4 linked regions of the Saccharomyces cerevisiae S288C genome follow. The main gene of each other region encodes a partner of the protein of the gene in region 3 in a complex. Each region holds a gene or a part of one and is shown on either strand. Other genes may lie near its edges. A codon is read from its position in the direction of its gene.

Region 1 (3,419 bases), on a different chromosome or scaffold from region 3:
CTTATATACTATTTTCCTTGATCACAGCCGCCGAAACGTTAAGCGGGGATATAGAGTTTCATCGTGTTGTTTGCCACCCGTTATGGGCGGCTAATCAAACGGAATTTAGCTTAGTCCATGCCAAAAACGTCTTTAATCTACAGAAATCGTGTTGCATGATCCACAGTAAACGCACAGGAGGTTTTTTTTTTTCGGAGATAGGTCGTACTGCTTTTTCACTGGAGGAGAATGCAAGGGAAATGAGGCGGTGTTTACGACTGGCACATCTCGAGCCTTTCTTCGCGTCAGAGAGATGTGGGCCCCCGGAGCAAGGGGGTAACAACAGACCCTACACATTCAGTCAGCGCGCCACATCAACCAACGAATGAATTGTTTTGCAGGCACTGCTTCCTATAAGCAGTAGCTGCACAAATCCACTATGTCACAAGGAATACACAGAAAACAGTGAAGGGTCTATCTGATCTTACCTCCATACACATCCACATGTATAACTATACTAAATATGTAAAAGGAAAGTATATATTTCCAAGAAGTAGCCGCCCATGGCTATTAAAAAAATACAGCATCAAGATCTCCAAATTCATCGTCGAAATTGGTGTTGAACGGCTCATTGGAATAATCTCCGAACATGTTCTCCAGTGGGTCGTCAACCACGGCGGGTACTGGCTCCTTTTCCGTTGCAGTTGCATGAGGACTTTGCGAGGCAACTGTAGTCACTACTTGTTGCTGTTGCTGCAAATCTTGCTGCTGTTGCTGCTGCAAGCTGGCTTCGTCCTGTGCTTCACCTGCAGTTACTTCCTTCTGCCTGATACGCTCCTTGGCCTCGTGGTATTGCGCCAAAACATCCCTATAAGCATGCGTCCAGTAGTCCGCCGGCGCTTCGCGGAGATCTCCGCGGAGTTTACCCACCAGCGCAGGATCGTCACGATGTACGACCACGCCGTCCGGCTGGTACCTCAAATGACTATCTTGCTCGAAGACAGCATCTATCATATCCTTTGTGCTACGGCTTCCGTCCTCTGCCGCAGCTATAAGTTTTGTGTATTTAAGTGGCGTCAGAGGCTTTTCTTGCAACTCTGCCGCTTGTGTTTTCATTTCGTGTTGTTTTTGCATGAGATATCTTATTGTTTTTTCACTGAACAATCTGGACTTCTCAATTCTGTCGCACGGTACCGTGGTCAAACTCAGCATGTTAAATGCGTCGTTCGAGCTTATAAAGTTCTTCAAAAGGTTGGATCGGAACGATATCGTGTCGCTCTCGTCATGTATGATATTGCTGAGCTGTTCTGGTCTAAGTCGTACACGTTCGAAGTCCTGTCTTTGCTTATTAAGCTGTTGCTGCGCGTACGTAAGCGATCTGCCATTCATGCCGGCACTGGAGCCGCTGTATCCGTACTGATAGTTGTTTTCCTCCGCGAAGCTCGTCAACGACGGGATGTTATTGTTTATGGCGCCCATGCTGCCTACTCCCCCAACCTGTACCCCAGAGTAGTATTGTTGGCGCGAAGCCTTTCCATGGTGCGATCTTTTCTTCTTGATGACACCCATTATTTTACTACGTTTGTAAAATTCTCTTAAACGCTTTTCTTTCGCCTTTTTCGCCTTTAGCCTCCCCTTTCTGGATCAAACCTTGTTTCGTTGCTTCTCAACTTCATGTTTTTTCTCTCCCATCTTTTCCTTTGGATTTTCCGCGTGTGTTTTCTGACCGTTTGACGGAACAACCGTGGTGCATGACCGAACGTAGACCAACACATTGTGAGAACCTGTATGGTCCAGCCGCTGCCAACTAACCTGATAAATGAAGCACGTCGGCTACAAACGACGCATGTGCCTCTTTATGCCCTGCTTGTTCCAGTATTCGCATTCGTTTACTTACTTTTCTTGTTTGGATCTTGCCATTTTCGGTAATGTAATTGATTTTCACGGATAAGTTTACTTTTTTCTTTGCGGTTTTTCCCGCTTTCCTGATTCAATACTCTTCCTACACAAAAGTGGAAAAAAACAGGAAAAAAAAATAGTGCAGTCCACACTAGCATCACCTCCATCGCATTCCTTCATTGATATTTGCTGTATACGATTTGCATCGGCTTTTGAAAGATATAGTTTATCTGTCCTTGATCTAAAACCAATTTCTCCTCTTTCTTTCTTCAAGATGTTATAACCTTCCACCGGCACACATATATACGGATATATATGCATCAACACCCTTGAAAATAGACGCTCTTCACATATATGAAATCCTCAGAGCCAGCGCCAGCGACCCCGACCGGGTTCAGAAATTCCATCTGGTTCATCATCTTCTACCTTTTCGTCATCCAAGCGCTAGGTTCTGCAATAATCTCGGGCGGCATCGAGTTTGCCATCGCATATGCCATGTACCATTCCCGTGTAGATCTTATCACCTTATGGGCATTTCCTCACACCATTTCAGGCGATTGTGCACTAAGTTTATTCATCCAGGTGGGTCTTACATGGGCTAGCGAGGAAATTTTAGTTGGATTCGATGACTACAAGAGGCCTGTTTTCAGATTGAATAAATGGATTACGAAACCGTCACCACTGAAAACCGAATCTAACGAAGAAATACCACCCCCTAAAAAGCGTTTCATTGTGGATTACTTCGAATCCAAAGACAACGTCGTTGCGAAGCAGAACACTCTGTATCATAAGCATAATTGGCTCTTTGGCTATTTAGAGGTCAATAGAGGAATCATTCCCAAAGGTAAAGAAGCTACGTTGAAAGGTTTTCTCACATCTCAGTTCATTCATGATTCTACTCAGTCCAAATTCATGAACTTTATAGAATGGTTTGTGCAGAAATTCATCAGATCTATGATCCTAGCCATTGCCATGTTCATTGTCATTTGGCCAGTCACTATGGGTATCCTTGCTGGTATAGGCCATAAGGTCGGGTCCCACGACTACTACTTCAACGATTATCCACTACCGCAGGTCATGAAGTTGATTTATGCCGTTGTAATTGCCTTTGTATGCACTCCAGTGGCCATCATCGTCATTGTGTTGAGAAACCAGTTTCACGAGGAACTTTACTATGAAGGCTTAGCAAACGGTACGCTACAGCAGGATCAAGAAGTTTGCTCCACGGGTAATCGCAGCTCGGGATCAACCGATCAAGATATCAGTACTACCAAACAACAGTCTCAAGAAGCGGTAGCGTGAAGAAAAGCAACAAAAAAATAAAAGCATGTGCGAACTCTAGTTTAATACTTAATAAACTATTAATACTTTACAATTAGCAATCTATAATATACCCACCTTAACAAATAATTTTTCCTTTAACCATTGTTACCTTGTTTAATCCGCGACGCCGCGCTAGGGCATGTGTGATTTATTCATTTACTATACAGCCGCAAAGAAACAACTAAGAATAAAATATCCGACAATCCATATCATACCAA
Region 2 (3,654 bases), on a different chromosome or scaffold from region 3:
CTCATGAACCAATAGAGGGCAAATCTACAAGATTGTACCGCTATTCGTATAATATCTTTAGGCCTTTTTATTATTCAAAGGAAGATGCGATTTGCATTATGTTTTGTGGCCCGGCTAAAACTGCAGCACTGGGTGTATCACTAATTACTTCACAATACGGCGATAAAAAAGAACACCTGGGTAAGTTGTTGGTTCCCTTGGTTTTATATCAAGTTGAGCAAGTCATGACGGCAAATTTCTTTGTAAGCTTGTTCAAAAGATGGATACAAAAGGACGCTCAAGCAGACGGAAGCGAGTCATCTTGTGCAAATGAGAATGAGGAAGTTGATTTGGAAAAGATCATATCAATTGGAACTGGTGAAAATCAATCCGTTCTGTCGAACAACGTCCCATATACACAACCAAGGTGATATTTCCCTTGTTAATTTTGCATGAATTCTATATATTACATAACGTTTATGTATATATTTCCCATCCTCATTGGATGGAAAAAACTAAACAGCACATATTCACACGGATTTTGGATACACGAAGCATCTATCACGTATTCTTAAAATTGCACGTCCCAAAGAGCAGCCGGTCCTTTCATATTATACTTTTCTCTTGTGATATAAAATGTATCTTTAGGATGAGTGAAAATTTGCTTAGAAACAATTTGGGCACCCAAGAATATAATCTCTGAATATCCACTTTTCTTCCACTCAGGAAAGTAATCTGGATATTTAGCCAGTTTGATTACTGTAGGACACTGTACGTATTCTATAGTTGGAACAAATGCGGTGCTATTTGTCATAAACTTGCTTTTCTTTTTTGTTGCAGCTGGTAATACGGATTTCGCTTCCTCTTCTCTTTTTGACTTCTCTTCCTCTGGCTCTATAATTAAATGGTCTTTCAGTAGTTGACCCAGTAAAGCTTCTTTAAAACCTGAAATTGAAGTAGTGCCACCGACGATGATAATATTTTCCCAAACGGCTTTAGCTTTGTTAATATCATCTATGTTATCTAACGTCAATCCTACACGATTAGAAATATTCTTAATCAGGTTATTACATCCTTGGAATCTTTGCTTACCAACTTTAATTTCGTTACCTTTTTCATCCCAAAAAGTATTGAATTCCAAGTCGCTATTTTTAACATTTTTGACTTTTTGACCACGTTCTCTTTCCTCTAAAACTTCACGTGTATCACGACCACTTGTAATAATCTCGGCAACGTTTAAAGTTCCTTCATCCTCGTCCTCATTTTCGTTTCCAAAATCGAAACTTGATAGTTTTTTGGCGTCGTCACTGAGCACCTCAAAAATTGGTGATTTTTTCAATGATTCTATCTGATCATCGTCCCATTGAGGTAGTAGTTTTTTTAGAGAATCATTAATAGACTGTCCGCCCATTGGTATTGAAGAGACAAGATGGTCTAATTGTGCATAGTCAACAATAGGAATAATATCTGTATGATGTGTTCCAACATCAATAATACAACAATTCTGCAACGAAATCATAGAATAAGTGGCCGCTAAGGAAGCCGGCAATTGGATTAGATTGTTTATCTCAAGACTTTCGAAGACATATTGAGTAATAATCTCTAGATCCGATTGCGACCAAGAGTGGTGCGTAATCAGTAGAAGAGGAATATTAGATAATTCAGCTTCAAAAGCATCTTGATTTTTATTAGCTCTATCAGACAAAATAGATACAAATATTAGTCTAAGAAATTGTGTAAAGGCGCTTATGTCTATTATTTCACCATTTTGGATTGGTTTGATTAATTCGGCTTTATTATCCTTGTTCGTTGAATGATATGTGTAGGAACCATCTTGTCTCGTGGTCCGATAAATCTGTGTTGGTATTTCCAGCTCAGGTACAGTGAATGTTTCTTCATTCAAACCAAATTGAACGAGAGTAGTTTGAGATCTGGGGTATATTATCTGTTATGAATTGTTGTTAGTATAAAAGATTAACCAAAAACTGTTCGTGAAGACTTAAAAAATCCATTGATGAACTAAATACGTACCAAAATACTGTCCTGCCTAAATGGAGCCATATTCAATGCATATAGTAGTTGTTCAAGACACTTAACTTCGCGTGGTACATTTTTTCTAATTCCGCAATATTGTCAGTTTACTATTAGAGATTTATAATGTTGAAATTTGCTTTTAGCCACTGCGCGGAAATATGTAGTATTCGTAACAAGTGACTCTAATGATATAAACACAGTAGAACTGTCATTAGAGCACATTAAATAATATGTATATCTTATTGCGTCCAAATGAACATAAAAGTGGAAAGGGAATGCCTGACCTAACAATTATCGTGATTATTGTGTCAAAAATGGTAAAGAAAACTTTTTTTTTTTTTGAAAATATGAAGGAAAGACGTGATATTTTATGATTTTTAGTTACAAATCCGGAGAGGTGTCCTTCTCCCACGGCAGCGTATATCTTTCTATTTCTACTTAACAAAAATCTGACATTATACTTTTTTTCTTTTATCAGAAAACTAGTAAAATTGATATACATCGAGATCAAAGACCTTGATGCAGTAGCTGAATGAAATTATAGGGAATTAATCCTATCCTATGATTTCTATCTATACGGTCATTATCATAAACTTCACCTTTATACCAATCTTTATTAACAATCTCAGTAATTAGCAGATAGTCGCCCTTATGGAAATTCGCTAATCCAGGTGCCTCATTTCCAATCAATGGATACATGGCCTTGGCATATTCAATGACTGGAAAACCTTCACTGGTGACAATAGGCAAGGTAACAGTAATACCTCTATCCCTGACCACACCTCTCTCATCCATGATGTTTCCTGTTTTTGTACCTGGTTTAGAACTACTTTGGATTCTTTCCATTTCGTACAAGGCATCTTCAATTGGATTACTTGAATCTTGCATTATCATGGATTGTCTATGCGTGTGCCCCCTAGACGTTCCTCTTACTGCCACAGGAGGTTTGAACAAAATTGTGCTTGTACTGGTATCTCTCCTCGTGTTATAATCATCTTCATTGAGGTTGTGCGCAGAGTTAGGCGTTCTTCCCCCATCATCCGACCTCGAAGAAGCGGATGAGGGTACTTGCAAATGGCTCATAGATTTTCTTTTCCTATTTGACGAGTTCCATGATTTGGCAAATCTCTGTGAGTCGTCTATACTATTGGCCATTGAACTTACGGATGTAGTCATAGATTCCATACTTTGTCTCTTTTTGATGTGGCTAAAATCCGTTGGATTAGAAGAACTTGATTCTGATGGTGAGCTGAGAGATTGATTTCTTTTATGCACCATTAGACCTTTTTCATCAGGATTTTTCGAATCTTCATCAGGTTTAAGTTGTTCTTCCCCAACAATCGGCCTTGGTTTATCAGGTTTCTGCCTTAACACGGAGTCATCCACATTGCTCTGTAACTGGACGGGTGAAGACCTCAAAGATAATGTTGGGTTAGCAACCACTTTTGTCTCATTACGTATGACGGGTGTGGAATTTCTAAATTGTGTAGCCATGGTGACTTCTGGAGATGGCAATGGTTTCTCATATTTGTCTATTGAAGCTAGTTTCCTTTTATTTTCGGTTTCCTTCAGCTGAGAAGATAGTTTCCTTATATTGTCCATATACGATTCGGTTTTTTTACTTGTCGTGGAGATACTGCT
Region 3 (7,543 bases):
GTAATACAACAGAAACTCATTTCTAATGAGTGGTAAATACATTTGTGGGAAATATCTTTAAGGCCATCTCGGACCTGTATATAATCTCCGAGTATTTCCATTAAAGATGAATCAAATACATGAAATATCTATTAAAGACATATACTCAAGGAAAAGAAGTAGTAGATATATCTTCTTTATATATATTGCCCTGTGTTGCTAGCAGGGTGTTGGAACAAATAATTTGTTCCGTATTGGAAAATTTATAATTAGGTCCAAGAACAAGTTCACTATGATGACGACATATTACTTTGTTCAAAGAGATGGTTTAAAATAAATATGTATAGCAGAATTATAAGAGGCGAAATCGATCAATTAGTTGAACAATTAACTTAAAATCTAATATATATAAATATATATATATATATATATAGGAAATATACGGCACGTTATACTAGAGATATTAAACATCCCAACTCGGTTAATGGGTACAATAAAAAAAAGAGGGATTAATGTTTGTCTACGTATAAACGAATAAGTACTTATATTGCTTTAGGAAGGTACTATACACTCGCTTCTGTCATGCTCGAGTCCGCTTCATCTGTGAAAGATTCAGCCACGCTTGAAGTAACAACAGGAGGCAAGACGAGGGGTCTGGTGCCATACTGTTCATCAAATTCAGTAAAGTCGAGTTGTGAGTTATCGCCCATTATCTCACAGTATTTCTTCGTAACCACTTTTTCCAGTTCTAAAGAGTCTTCGTATACTACTGAACCCTCAGTATTGTATATCCTAGCATTGGAAAATATCAGATGAAAGTCTTGAAGGGTCTCTTTAAGGGAGTTGTAAGCTAGCGTTTCAATATGCGTGTTAATATTATCAAAGGCGACAGGGTACTTAATAATCATATAGTAGTCGGGATATAGTGCTTTGGAAGGTTTGGAGAGGAAAATGTCAGAAAGTTTCCTTCCAGCTTCATTTTCATAATTGAGAGCAAAGTGGTATAAGTCTAGAGCTTGTTTAGCAACTTTCTCTCTAATATCAATAGGACTCGTTGCCGCAGCGGGCGTGCGGACATAATCAAGCCCATTTCTTGCTTTTGGCGGCCTTCCTCGTCCACGTCCTCGCCCTCGACCACGACCACGACCGCGACCACGGCCCCTTGTTGAAGTTCTTGCTGATTTAACAGATGTTTTTCCCGCTGTACGTGGTTTTGGAATGTCCATAAAATCCTCACTGGGAGAGTTATCGCCAGTAACTGGACTTGATTCAAGCGCTGGTGGTTCAGAATTTTCAGATCCTTCAAGTTTCACTTTCTTAGGTCTTCCACGGGGCCTTCCTGCCTTTCTCTTTTTAGACAAGAAATCATCGTCATTCATTGCCAAATCCGTATCTGCCCGATCTTCGGCCGATATATTATTAATTCTAGGACCGTCATTATCAGCGTCAATGTTTTCGCCTTTAATTTCTCCATTCCCATCAATCGCCTCGCTCTTATCTTCCTTCTTTGTTCGTTGTTTTCTTGCCTGCTTGTCATTTTTTTCATCATCGCTAACTTCAAATTGTCTTAACCACTGTTCTTCAGACATATTATCGTTGTAAGTTGCCGTCTTACGTTCTCTTGCACCCCTTCCATTGTAAACAGCAGCAGATTCTGATTCTTCACGTTTGAGCTCGGCACCAATATCTCTACTGTAAATATCAGGTAATTCACTCTTTTCTAAGAGACGGCTCTTTACTCCCAATTCTTCCTCCTTCTTTGATCTATCTTCATCCATCCTTGTAAGAACAGCCATTTCTTCGTCATTTCGAGCAAGAATTTCGTTGATTTCTGAGTCTTTTAACTCCTCTTCTTCTTCAACACCAGACTCTCTTTTCTTTCTACGTTCCTCTTCTGCATCCAGCAAAGATCTAAGCAACGCTTCTTGTTCCTCCGATGTAGATTTGTTATCGAATTTACCTGCTTGAATGACTTTACCATCGATATCTAGCTTCTTGTAGGCTCTCTCTAGGATAACTTCTTCAACTGAATTCGTAGTAATCAATCTTAGAATTCTAACTTCATTCTTCTGACCTATTCTATGCGCTCTATCCTGAGCTTGCAAATCTTGATGAGGATTCCAGTCAGTATCAAAAATAATGACAGTGTCTGCAGTTTGTAAATTTAAACCCAAACCACCCGCTCTAGTTGATAAGATAAAGCACAAGTATTCAGAATCAGGGGCGTTAAATAGACGTAACAACTCACTACGTTCATCAGATTTTGTATGACCATCTAACCTCAGGTACTTGATATTAATGTACCTTAAAAAATCTTCCATAATATCCATAATTTGGGTCATTTGAAAAAAAATTAATACTCTATGCCCAGTTGCCTTAAGCTTAGGCAAAATTCTATCTAATAGTTCAAATTTACCAGCAACACGCCAAATATCATCATTCGTTTCTCTTGTTGGATTGATTTGGTCCTCAACTTCTTCAAATACAAAAGGATGATTACAGATTTTCTTTAGTTGCATGATTTGATTATTGAAACCTCTTAAACCTACCATTTTCTTATTATTTTGATCACCGATAAAAAGACGACGATATTTCAACATTTGTTGGTACATAATTTGTTGTAAAGCGCTCATTTTGCACTTCACTACCTTCTCAACTTTATCCGGTAATTCTTTTTCTACATCCTTTTTCAAACGACGCAATAAAAAGGGTCTCAAGACTTTATGCAATCTCCTGATAACCAAAAGCGTCTCTTCTTCACTCAACTCAATTTTATCTTGCCCACCGGTGTTGGCAAAGGGTGTATTGAACCATTCATCAAAAGATTTCACGGAATTGAAAATCTTGGGTAACACAAAATTCAATAAGGCCCATAATTCTGGCAAGTTGTTTTGAAGTGGTGTACCTGTCAAAATTAATCTATAATCTGCATGGTAATGTGTGTTCAAGGTTAAAGAAAGCTTGGATTGCGCATTTTTCATTCTATGGCCTTCATCAATAATCATATGGACCCACTTGACCTTGGATAAAAGTGCTCTTTCTTTAATAATATACTCAAAGGTAGTCAGAACTACATCAAATTCACCTGCCCTTATTTTAGCCTGTTTGGCTTTCCTCTCATTTGGCGAACCTTTAAATGATATAGTTCTTAAGGTAGGAGCCCATTTCGCGAATTCACTGCTCCAATTTGACAGTGTAGATAAAGGAACAATGACTAAATATGGCCCACGAATATTCTTCATTTCATATAAATATGTAAGTAAGGATATCGTCTGGATAGTCTTACCAAGACCCATTTCGTCTGCTAAAATACCATTTAAATGATTATTGAAAAGCGAAACCATCCACTGTAAACCCTTGATTTGATAGTCCTTTAAGGTACCACCAACCAATATTGAAGGCTGCTTCTTGATATCTTCTTTAATTCTATGTGCGACATTGTAATAATCGACGTTAGAATTGTCGTCGTCGTCATCATATTCTTCATCCTTCATCTTGGGGACCATGGACAAATCATCCACTTCCTCCGATGCTTCCTTTATGTGGGAATCAATCATTTCTTTAGTGTACTTTTGTTGATCTTTCACGGCTCTTGTTAAAGAATCTAAAAATGCGTTTGTTTGCCTTAGAAGATGTGTAATTCTTGTATCTTTGGTTTGGTCTAATAATTTTATATAGGCTTCCTCATCGTTCGCCTTTAAAGCCTGTAAACGTTCTTTTGCCTTTTTTTCAGCTCTCTTTTGCTCATCCCTTTCTAAATTAGTATGCGTAGCAATGAGTCTATGGCCAAACTTCAACCTTTTATTCTTTTTATCTTGTCTTCTATTATATTGATTGATGGCGGATTTATTCATCGACTTTAATCTGGCCACTGCCTCAGTCTTCTTCCTTTCTAACTTAAGTAATTCATGATTCTTATAAAGTTGGTTTGTTAGCAATGCATCTTGAACGTTGATGTTTCTTATTTTCGAAAGAAAATTTGGATGTGTATTGGTTAATAAAGAATTTTGATGCCATTCAAATTGTAATACATGACCTCTTACGGCTTTTTGTAACGGTAATAATTGTAAGGCGTAGTAATCGTAAAGAGCATTTTCCCTGGTTGATTCCGTACATTCGTCATTTAGTAGCTTATCCAAACAGTCATTTACCGTAGTATCTAGGTTCAATGCAATTAAAGTTTGGTAAATGTCAGTAGCGGTATGTGTGTCAATACCAACCGGTAGAACGCCAGGTTCAATAGTAAACTTTGCATGATCCGAATTGGCCAATAAAGTCTGATAATCGATATTACTATGTGAGATATTGGGCATCGTAAAAGAATCAACCATCATATCAGGATCATCTATATCTACCACTTTTATTCCTTCCTTATATTGATCTTGAAGGACGTTTAAAGGAACGGGTTTCTGCGGTTTTGGCGGGTTATTTTGCTCGGTGTGGGTCTTATTACTATTAGGAGCTGTTTTAGCTACGTTTGAAATGGTTTCGTTTTCCTCTTTTTTCGATTCTGTTTGCGTGATTGGAGTGCCACTTACAGTTTGCGAATTTTTATCGAGGGTGCCATTCTTCGCATTATGTACACTAGATGGACCAGCTGGTGAAACAGATGCAAAATTTTCGTCTTTGCTATCTAAAGGTGCATTTCTGGTAAGCCCAGAAACGTTGTCAGTGTTAGTGTTATTGTAGTGGGAATTGGTGCCGGGTTGCTGCGTATTGTTGCCGCCATTGAGATTTGATTGGTTATTTTGATCTGTGGGTTGTCTTCTTCTCGCAAACTCACTCAAAGACAGTAACATTCTTTTGAAATCTGGAGGATGGTTAATAGATTTTTGGATAACAGCCTGAAATTCAAACGGAATAGGCTTTCTATTTACTAGACATTTTAGAGATGTGATTTGGGCCTTTAACAGTTCGGATTGCTCGGCAGTAAACATTGTCATGGGTAATCTTCTCCCCTGTTGCAGTCTCGCTTGTGCTTGTTGTGCCTGTTGTGCCTGTTGCGCTTGTTGCGCCTGTTGTGCTTGGAATTGTGCCTGCTGCATCTGCGCCTGCTGGGGCATAGGAGAATTTATCTGCGAACCTGGCATCACATTTGAATCCTGTATGTTGTGTTCTTGTAATGATCGATTTTGCGGTTGAAGCTCGGAATTATTAAGGTTTAAGTTATTATGGTTTGAGTTATCTGGTTTCTCCGCAGCATTTTCTCCATTGTTTGCTGGTGTTGGTGAAAAATTAGTTGCATTTAATGAACCAACCGAAGATTGCCGTTGTGGTAGCATGTTATTACCACCATTGCTATTTAATGGCATCTGTGTTTGCATGATTGGTGATTGATGAGCAGAAGTGCTAAAGGTCTCATTTCCATTCAATTGCATATTCGGAGCTAAATGCGGGGAAGCAGAAGCAGAAATGTGCGAGGAAGCATTATTCGGCAGTTCTGCTTGATCTGAAGAATTTGGAACAATATTTTGCTGAGAACCTGAAATGCCTTGCTGTTGGCGTTGCATTTGTAATTCTTGTCGCTGCTTGGCAGCAAATTGCAACACTTTAGTCAAATAGATAAATTCCGGCACACTCGGAGCGTTCATTCCGTGTTCATTTCTCAAATGCTGCCATCTTAAATAGCAGCGGTTGACCTCTTCGTTGCTAAATTGACGCTGTGGTATGTTCATGGCAGATAATTAATCGAAAGTCGTGAAAATAGCAGAAAGTCGCGATTAGAGAAACAACAGAATAGCTGACCTTCCCGATGATTTATATACAAAAGGTCCACGTACGTCACAAATATCTTCTTTATTGAGACTAGAGGTAACCTTTCTTTTAACTTATTGTCCTACCGCCTCAGGATGGCCCCGTTTCGTCAATCAATTTGTTGATATTTGTCTTTCAAACGCGGTTTTAACATATCGCGAACAACGGTATTCGGGTAACAGCCTATCACTATTTTTACCGGCGGCTATTTTTCCTAAACCTAGTATATATACGCGAAAATTGGCTACCTGCAAAATTCCAATAGTGGCGAATGTATTGGAATTAATCTGCAAGGAAAATAAGCGTTAGGAACTTCAACTGTATTTTGCTCACTAATTCTTCTTCATCATGTCTTCTTCTTTTTTTTTCAATTACTTGTTAGTTCTTAGTGTCCTTATGTTCACTCAGAATAGCCATTAAGAATCGTGTCTTTTTGGAAGTGAAGGAGTTTCAATAAAAAGAAAAAAGCGAATATTTCAACACTGTGTTCTAAGAAAAGGCTCTATAGCTTTTTTTATTAGTTTTATTAATTTGAAAAATGCCTTGTTTGTTTTATATATATATATGTGTGTATTTAGGGCAGCCGCGGCCAACAGGGGGTATGGGTATGAAGAGGTGATAGAAGAGTGAAAAATGAAAAAAAATGGAAATCAAGGAAAGAGTAGTGAAAAAAAGAAAAAAAGGAAAAAAGGGCAAAAAGAGAACGCAATACCATAGAGTTGGAGGTGTTGGACTTGTGAATTTATTTTTGATTGAAAATAGTTCAGAGTCAATAGATTCTTCTTTAAAATAAAAAGGAGCCCAGACTTACTGATAGATCTTGCATATACTCCGGTAATGGATATTCCCTCTTCAAACCAAATTCAACATGGCCAAAGGAGTGAAAGGAACCGAAGAATGCCGAGGGCTTCTTTTTCTTCTACAGCCACTACTTCTACGGCGGCCACATTGACTTCCGCGATGGTACTGGATCAGAACAATTCGGAACCGTACGCAGGTGCAACATTCGAAGCCGTGCCAAGTTCTATTGTATCATTCCATCACCCTCATTCTTTTCAATCAAGCAACCTCCCAAGTCCGCATTCTTCAGGGAACCTAGAGCAGAGAGGCCGCCGATTGACTGAATCAGAGCCTTTAGTATTATCCTCGGCTGAACAGTCTCGAAGCTCTTCTAGAAACCCTTCTCATTTTCGATTTTTCACTCAGGAGCAAATATCCAATGCTGAAGGCGCTTCCACGTTAGAAAATACAGATTATGACATGGCCTGGGATGCCACCCCCGCTTATGAACAAGATAGAATCTATGGTACGGGCCTATCTTCCAGGCGTTCTTCTATTCGAAGTTTTTCCAGAGCATCATCTCTCTCAAATGCAAAGTCTTATGGATCTTTCAGTAAGAGGGGTCGCTCTGGTTCAAGGGCACCACAAAGGCTGGGAGAAAATTCTGACACTGGGTTCGTTTATCATTCCGCTACACATTCATCATCCAGTTTATCGAGATATACGACCAGAGAAAGAATTCCTATTGAACTAGAAAGTCAAACAGATGAAATACTAGAAGACGAGTCTTCTACACATTCTTTAGAATCTTCAGATAGTAGGCGATCTGCAAGCGAAAATAATAGAGGAAGCTTTTCTGGTCATGATGATGTTCATAATCAGCATAGCGAATATCTAAAACCTGACTATCATGAAAAGTTTTATCCACAGTATGCACCAAACTTGCATTACCAAAGGTTTTACATTGCGGAAGAGGATTTAGTTATTGGTATCGCTGCTTACCAGACCTCAAAATTCTGGTATATTATTT
Region 4 (4,640 bases), on a different chromosome or scaffold from region 3:
GAATCAACAAGTACGAATCTTCTCCATCTCACATTGAATTGGTTGTTACCGAAAAGGAAGAAGCTGTCGCCAAGGCTGCTGAAAAGAAGGTTGTCAGATTGACTTCTAGACAAAGAGGTAGAATTGCTGCCCAAAAACGTATCTCTGCTTAAATGCTTTTTTAATTTTAAAATCTTTTAAAGTGAATATTTGATTTATATACTACTATATACTAATTTGTTTAGGCCAATACACAGAATCAAAATCAAACTAAGAACAACACAGAACAAGAAAAATAACTTTTGATAAAGGCTCTTTTAAATAAAAAAAATAGAAAAAATAGAAAATAACACAATTATAGATATATATCTACATGTACATAACATGTCTAGTCGAATCTAGAGAAATGGGATAAAAATCAGAGAGAAGCCAAGTCAAGTGACGCACCATTAAAGAAATGAACCTAGAAGAAAGAAAATAAGCAAAAATATAGAGCGAAACAAAATAGAAAGTGTTACTAATGAAGAATAATTACAACAAAAACAAAAATGATCTCCATGTGTCATTGTTATGCCGACCAATACCTGTAAAATTGAGGTGCTTCAATAGAAATGGGTTTGACATCATTCTCGTTAGATATACTTTGGCCATTATGGTTTTCACCTGTTTCAATATTAGGTTTGTTAAATGGATTCTTTCCAATACTTAAAGTTTCAGGTTTCGATAGCATACTTTTGAAATGGTCTATCTGCGACCTGATTTCCTCCTTCTCCGCCACTGAACTATTATTGATATTGCTGTCGGATATTAAATTCAAGCATTTGCTTAAAACGTTTACAATCTTGCTGGAGTTTTGGTTGAAGTTCAATCTCTGAATTAGTAAGTTTTCCTGTTGTCTTTCTAGGGTTTTCCTTTCTAGCTCCATAAATTTTTCTAGTTTCTTTAAATGATTTAATTTAGCGTCCAATTTTTCCATTTGAAGTCTTATTAGCTCGTTAGTCAAAAAATTCATTTGCCTTTCCTCGTTGGTAGCGAAAATATGACTCCTATAACCCAATGATGATATGGCAATTTCTGAACCTTCTTTAATATGTTCAATTGGCTTTTGGTCAGAGATTTCCTCTTTTTGTGATTTTATTGATTCTGCGGACTGAATGGCTCTCTGGGTCATCGACTGTACAGTCTTCGGATTGACCAAACCCACCAAGAATGCTATTGTTGATAAAACGGGGTTTTCGCTCTTCGAAAATGGCAAGTGAGGAGCATATTTCAAAGGTCCTAACCCGTTGTCATTATCACCCTTGCCATTGCCGTCACCGTATAAAAATTTATCTTCAATGGGCAATTGAAGGAAACGTAAGATACACTGTTCAGGCGACTTATTGCCAACGTTTTTGGCCACTTTGTACCAGTCAGCGCCGAATTCTTGTATTCCCTTTAATAGCTTTTGCAAATCTTCTTTTGACCAATTTTCATCAATTTGTTCTAGAATTTTGACTTTTTTCAGAGGACGTGAAGTTTCGCCTTCTTCCAATAGATTGGCATCACCAGTCATGCTTGTTGACGTACTTACTTCATTGTTCATTTTACCACCATTATCATTTTTGTCACCATTTTCATCATCAGTGGTACTGGGGGGGTGAGTTATTTCATCATATTTTCTTTTGCTTTCTTTCAAATATTTATATAAAGTACTCTCCGAATCACTAGTGTTCATCATTTTTTTAAGCTTTGCCATATCCGGCAGTTGTACAGATGGTTTGTAACTTTCGAATGGGAATAGTCCTCTGGGGGCATCATGCCTTGTGGAATATTGAGACGTTAGTGGGGGTTCGATGTTCTTAGGTAATAGTTTGGAGTCAACCTGATAGTTTATTAGCCCCCATTTTGTTAAGAATTTATGCAATCTGAATAATGCAGCAGCATCACCAGAGACGTTTCTCCTCGCCGTAGTGACACTGAAATATTCGTTGGGGTTCAGCCTGTAAGAATTTACCATGAAGTTTCTGTATCTCATGTAAACTTCAGGTGTCTTTGATGGAATCCTATTGGTGAAAAATTCAGGTAACGATTGAACTTCAATGGAATGAATTTTTTCTAGATTGAACCATTTAGAATAACTTGGAATAACAATTTCATGTGCTTGCGGTATCTCAAAAGTTTCGGGTTCTACTCTGGTGATAGTGGTTTTCTTTGGATTGGCACTTTTGGAGTGATCGTTCATGATTTCACGTTCCTGTTCGTTTCTCTCTTCGCCACTATCTACCTTCTTATCTACACTTTCCGTCTTTTCTATGATATCCTCCTGTTCAGCTTTATGCGCATCTGGAATTTCAGATGGAGTATTAGCAACCGACGAAGTGTTGCCTAGTTGTTTAGACTCACTCTTTGTGTCTCCAAAAATGGAATTATCAGGACTAATCATCGGTTGATCGTCATCCTCATCATCTTCTTCCACTTCATCCATTTCCTTTGTGTTCTCATCTGGCTGACTTTCTTCTTTGACACCTTCAATAACAGTGTTATTCTCTGGTTCTTCCTCTTTTTGTATTTTGACGTCCTCCATGTTTTTAACGTCACCATTTGAATCCTGTATTGTGCTGTCTTCCTTAATAGCAGGCTTATTGTTTTCATTGTCTACCGGGTTCGTAGGTATACTAGGAGTGTTTGCCTCATTGTTCGAAACAGAACTCTCGGTTTCGCCAAAGAGATTATCACTATCCTCATTATCTTGGCCAAAGACGTTCTGGGCCCTGCTTTCTTCTGTAGAAGGTGTTTCCTGGGAATCTAGCTTATTCGCTTGCATAGTCGGCTGCTGCTTTGCCGTTACCGTTATCGCCTCACTTTCTGCATCGCGTGTGTTCGGAACAGTTGCTTCATCCTTCAGAGACTCATCTTGTTGCTGCGATTCTTCACCAGCAGTATCTGTATTGGCAACCCCTGCCACAGCTGCATTAGCGTTGCTATCACTATTGTTGTCATTGCCATGTTGGTCCACGTCCACGGAAGCGTTTACCGTGGACCCCTCACCCAGTGTATTCTCCATGCTTGCAAACCGTATCACAATTGGTCTCTGAACGCGCCTCGATGTACCAATATATCGCGCCTTGCATGGCCTTTACACATTCCTCTTGCGTATCTGATATAGTTTGTTTTCGTCTTTTCGCCAATGGCCTAAACGCCAAACGTCCGGCCTCGTTATTCGTGATGCCTACTTAATGGCTCTTAAATCGAATTTAAACTAGCTCAAAAGTAATCAATTCAAACTAAAATAACATCATTGGCCATCCTGAATTGTTGGATGCCATCTAAACTGCGTATTGACCATTATTCCATCGTAACCACGGCGGTTCAATATAATATCACTTTTGACGATTAGGTGTTTTATTTACATTTCTTTTTTTTTTTCCTCGAAAAAGATCTTCAAGGATAATACAGGAATAGAACAGGAGTCTCAAAGCATTCTTGAAGCCAGATTTGCTCCAGTTTGATAGTTCCAAGAAGCGCTAAAAGTGGCAGTTCACACTTTGTTTTGATTACTAGGAATCTACTCTTTCGCTTTTTACTTCCTTCTCAGAGAATCAGCAACTGTGACATATTATAGATAATGCGTTTACAAAGAAATTCCATCATATGTGCTTTGGTGTTTTTAGTCTCATTTGTGCTGGGAGATGTGAATATTGTTTCCCCCAGCTCCAAGGCAACATTCAGTCCAAGTGGTGGTACTGTCTCTGTTCCCGTTGAATGGATGGATAATGGGGCATATCCCTCGTTAAGCAAGATTTCAACTTTCACGTTCAGTCTTTGTACTGGTCCTAATAACAACATTGACTGTGTGGCCGTACTTGCCAGTAAAATTACTCCAAGTGAGCTAACACAAGATGATAAAGTTTACTCTTACACAGCTGAGTTTGCTTCGACCTTAACTGGGAACGGTCAATATTACATTCAAGTTTTTGCCCAGGTGGACGGTCAAGGTTACACTATCCATTATACACCAAGATTCCAGTTGACTTCCATGGGCGGTGTTACGGCTTATACATATAGTGCCACAACTGAACCTACTCCCCAGACTTCTATTCAAACAACCACTACAAACAACGCCCAAGCCACTACTATTGACAGTCGTTCATTTACTGTTCCGTACACCAAGCAGACTGGTACGTCGCGTTTCGCTCCAATGCAAATGCAGCCAAATACTAAAGTGACCGCTACCACATGGACAAGGAAATTTGCCACTAGTGCTGTGACATATTACTCTACCTTTGGGTCATTGCCAGAGCAAGCAACTACGATAACTCCTGGCTGGTCTTATACGATATCATCGGGAGTAAACTACGCTACTCCTGCATCTATGCCTTCAGATAATGGTGGTTGGTACAAACCATCCAAGAGATTGTCTTTGTCTGCAAGGAAAATCAACATGAGAAAAGTATGAAAAATAGACGGCTTCTACTATCATCATTACAGTAAGGGTTGAAGTCAGGAAAGGTTAAAAATAAAATAAATATCAAAAAGTTTTTAGCGGAAGGCGTTAAGGCAGCAAGTACACATTCATTTATCTATCTATACATCTATAAACACAACTACAATTTTTTTAGAAATGGAATTTATTATATGAAGGGAAGACATATAGAGGCAACAGTACATAAAGGTAAGAA

What was found.
Region 1: the proteins of SNF2 (region 3) and SNF6 are in contact, whole or in part, in a cryo-EM structure (PDB 6UXV), measured with the Saccharomyces cerevisiae proteins. Residues at the interface, in NP_014933.3 of Saccharomyces cerevisiae: Thr467 (codon at 4,256), Leu468 (codon at 4,253), Leu469 (codon at 4,250), Ala470 (codon at 4,247), Asn471 (codon at 4,244), Ser472 (codon at 4,241), His474 (codon at 4,235), Lys476 (codon at 4,229), Phe477 (codon at 4,226), His564 (codon at 3,965), Asn566 (codon at 3,959), Leu568 (codon at 3,953), Ser569 (codon at 3,950), Lys570 (codon at 3,947), Ile571 (codon at 3,944), Arg572 (codon at 3,941), Asn575 (codon at 3,932), Gln577 (codon at 3,926), Asp578 (codon at 3,923); in NP_011838.1 of Saccharomyces cerevisiae: Arg84 (codon at 1,299), Leu85 (codon at 1,296), Pro87 (codon at 1,290), Glu88 (codon at 1,287), Gln89 (codon at 1,284), Leu90 (codon at 1,281), Ser91 (codon at 1,278), Asn92 (codon at 1,275), Ile93 (codon at 1,272), Ile94 (codon at 1,269), His95 (codon at 1,266), Asp96 (codon at 1,263), Phe103 (codon at 1,242), Asp116 (codon at 1,203), Thr124 (codon at 1,179), Cys128 (codon at 1,167), Asp129 (codon at 1,164), Ile131 (codon at 1,158).
Region 2: the proteins of SNF2 (region 3) and ARP9 are in contact, whole or in part, in a crystal structure (PDB 4I6M), measured with the Saccharomyces cerevisiae proteins. Residues at the interface, in NP_014933.3 of Saccharomyces cerevisiae: Lys622 (codon at 3,791), Lys623 (codon at 3,788), Lys625 (codon at 3,782), Arg626 (codon at 3,779), Leu627 (codon at 3,776), Phe629 (codon at 3,770), Gly630 (codon at 3,767), His631 (codon at 3,764), Arg632 (codon at 3,761), Leu633 (codon at 3,758), Ile634 (codon at 3,755), Thr636 (codon at 3,749), His637 (codon at 3,746), Leu640 (codon at 3,737), Glu641 (codon at 3,734), Glu644 (codon at 3,725), Arg647 (codon at 3,716); in NP_013747.1 of Saccharomyces cerevisiae: Glu28 (codon at 1,873), Thr29 (codon at 1,870), Phe30 (codon at 1,867), Tyr151 (codon at 1,504), Ser152 (codon at 1,501), Ile154 (codon at 1,495), Ser155 (codon at 1,492), Gln157 (codon at 1,486), Asp176 (codon at 1,429), Tyr177 (codon at 1,426), Ala178 (codon at 1,423), Tyr415 (codon at 712), Phe416 (codon at 709), Pro417 (codon at 706), Ile434 (codon at 655), Val435 (codon at 652), Gln438 (codon at 643), Ile439 (codon at 640), His442 (codon at 631), Thr446 (codon at 619), Phe447 (codon at 616), Trp463 (codon at 568), Asp464 (codon at 565), Gln466 (codon at 559), Phe467 (codon at 556).
Region 4: the proteins of SNF2 (region 3) and SWI3 are in contact, whole or in part, in a cryo-EM structure (PDB 7EGM), measured with the Saccharomyces cerevisiae proteins. Residues at the interface, in NP_014933.3 of Saccharomyces cerevisiae: Pro485 (codon at 4,202), Val486 (codon at 4,199), Gly487 (codon at 4,196), Ile488 (codon at 4,193), Asp489 (codon at 4,190), Thr490 (codon at 4,187), His491 (codon at 4,184), Ala493 (codon at 4,178), Thr494 (codon at 4,175), Tyr497 (codon at 4,166), Thr499 (codon at 4,160), Ile501 (codon at 4,154), Ala502 (codon at 4,151), Leu503 (codon at 4,148), Asn504 (codon at 4,145), Leu505 (codon at 4,142), Asp506 (codon at 4,139), Thr507 (codon at 4,136), Thr508 (codon at 4,133), Asn510 (codon at 4,127), Asp511 (codon at 4,124), Lys515 (codon at 4,112), Glu527 (codon at 4,076), Asn528 (codon at 4,073), Tyr531 (codon at 4,064), Asp532 (codon at 4,061), Tyr534 (codon at 4,055), Ala535 (codon at 4,052), Leu536 (codon at 4,049), Gln537 (codon at 4,046); in NP_012359.1 of Saccharomyces cerevisiae: Gly421 (codon at 1,765), Leu422 (codon at 1,762), Phe423 (codon at 1,759), Pro424 (codon at 1,756), Phe425 (codon at 1,753), Glu426 (codon at 1,750), Pro430 (codon at 1,738), Ser431 (codon at 1,735), Val432 (codon at 1,732), Gln433 (codon at 1,729), Leu434 (codon at 1,726), Pro435 (codon at 1,723), Asp436 (codon at 1,720), Met437 (codon at 1,717), Leu440 (codon at 1,708), Lys441 (codon at 1,705), Met444 (codon at 1,696), Leu514 (codon at 1,486), Lys516 (codon at 1,480), Val517 (codon at 1,477), Lys518 (codon at 1,474), Ile519 (codon at 1,471), Leu520 (codon at 1,468), Lys529 (codon at 1,441), Gln533 (codon at 1,429), Leu536 (codon at 1,420), Lys537 (codon at 1,417), Ile539 (codon at 1,411), Gln540 (codon at 1,408), Gly543 (codon at 1,399).

The regions. Positions count from the first base shown.
Region 1 is NC_001140.6:52,980-56,398, reverse strand, and holds SNF6 (Snf6p), read right to left. Parts: upstream 1,549-3,419; coding exon 550-1,548; downstream 1-549. Other genes in the region: YHL026C (uncharacterized protein), read left to right, coding at 2,233-3,180; alkaline-responsive transcriptional regulator RIM101, read right to left, coding at 3,411-3,419. UniProt on the Saccharomyces cerevisiae protein: Involved in transcriptional activation. Component of the SWI/SNF complex, an ATP-dependent chromatin remodeling complex, which is required for the positive and negative regulation of gene expression of a large number of genes.
Region 2 is NC_001145.3:336,174-339,827, reverse strand, and holds ARP9 (Arp9p), read right to left. Parts: upstream 2,041-3,654; coding exon 2,011-2,040; intron 1,925-2,010; coding exon 551-1,924; downstream 1-550. Other genes in the region: RCH1 (Rch1p), read left to right, coding at 1-410; YMR030W-A (uncharacterized protein), read right to left, coding at 2,225-2,515; formin-binding protein HOF1, read right to left, coding at 2,521-3,654.
Region 3 is NC_001147.6:854,605-862,147, forward strand, and holds SNF2 (SWI/SNF catalytic subunit SNF2), read right to left. Parts: upstream 5,655-7,543; coding exon 543-5,654; downstream 1-542. Other genes in the region: YPK9 (putative acid anhydride hydrolase), read left to right, coding at 6,571-7,543. UniProt on the Saccharomyces cerevisiae protein: Involved in transcriptional activation. Catalytic component of the SWI/SNF complex, an ATP-dependent chromatin-remodeling complex, which is required for the positive and negative regulation of gene expression of a large number of genes.
Region 4 is NC_001142.9:91,506-96,145, forward strand, and holds SWI3 (Swi3p), read right to left. Parts: upstream 3,026-4,640; coding exon 548-3,025; downstream 1-547. Other genes in the region: 60S ribosomal protein uL22 RPL17B, read left to right, coding at 1-152; KRE9 (Kre9p), read left to right, coding at 3,587-4,417. UniProt on the Saccharomyces cerevisiae protein: Involved in transcriptional activation. Component of the SWI/SNF complex, an ATP-dependent chromatin-remodeling complex, which is required for the positive and negative regulation of gene expression of a large number of genes.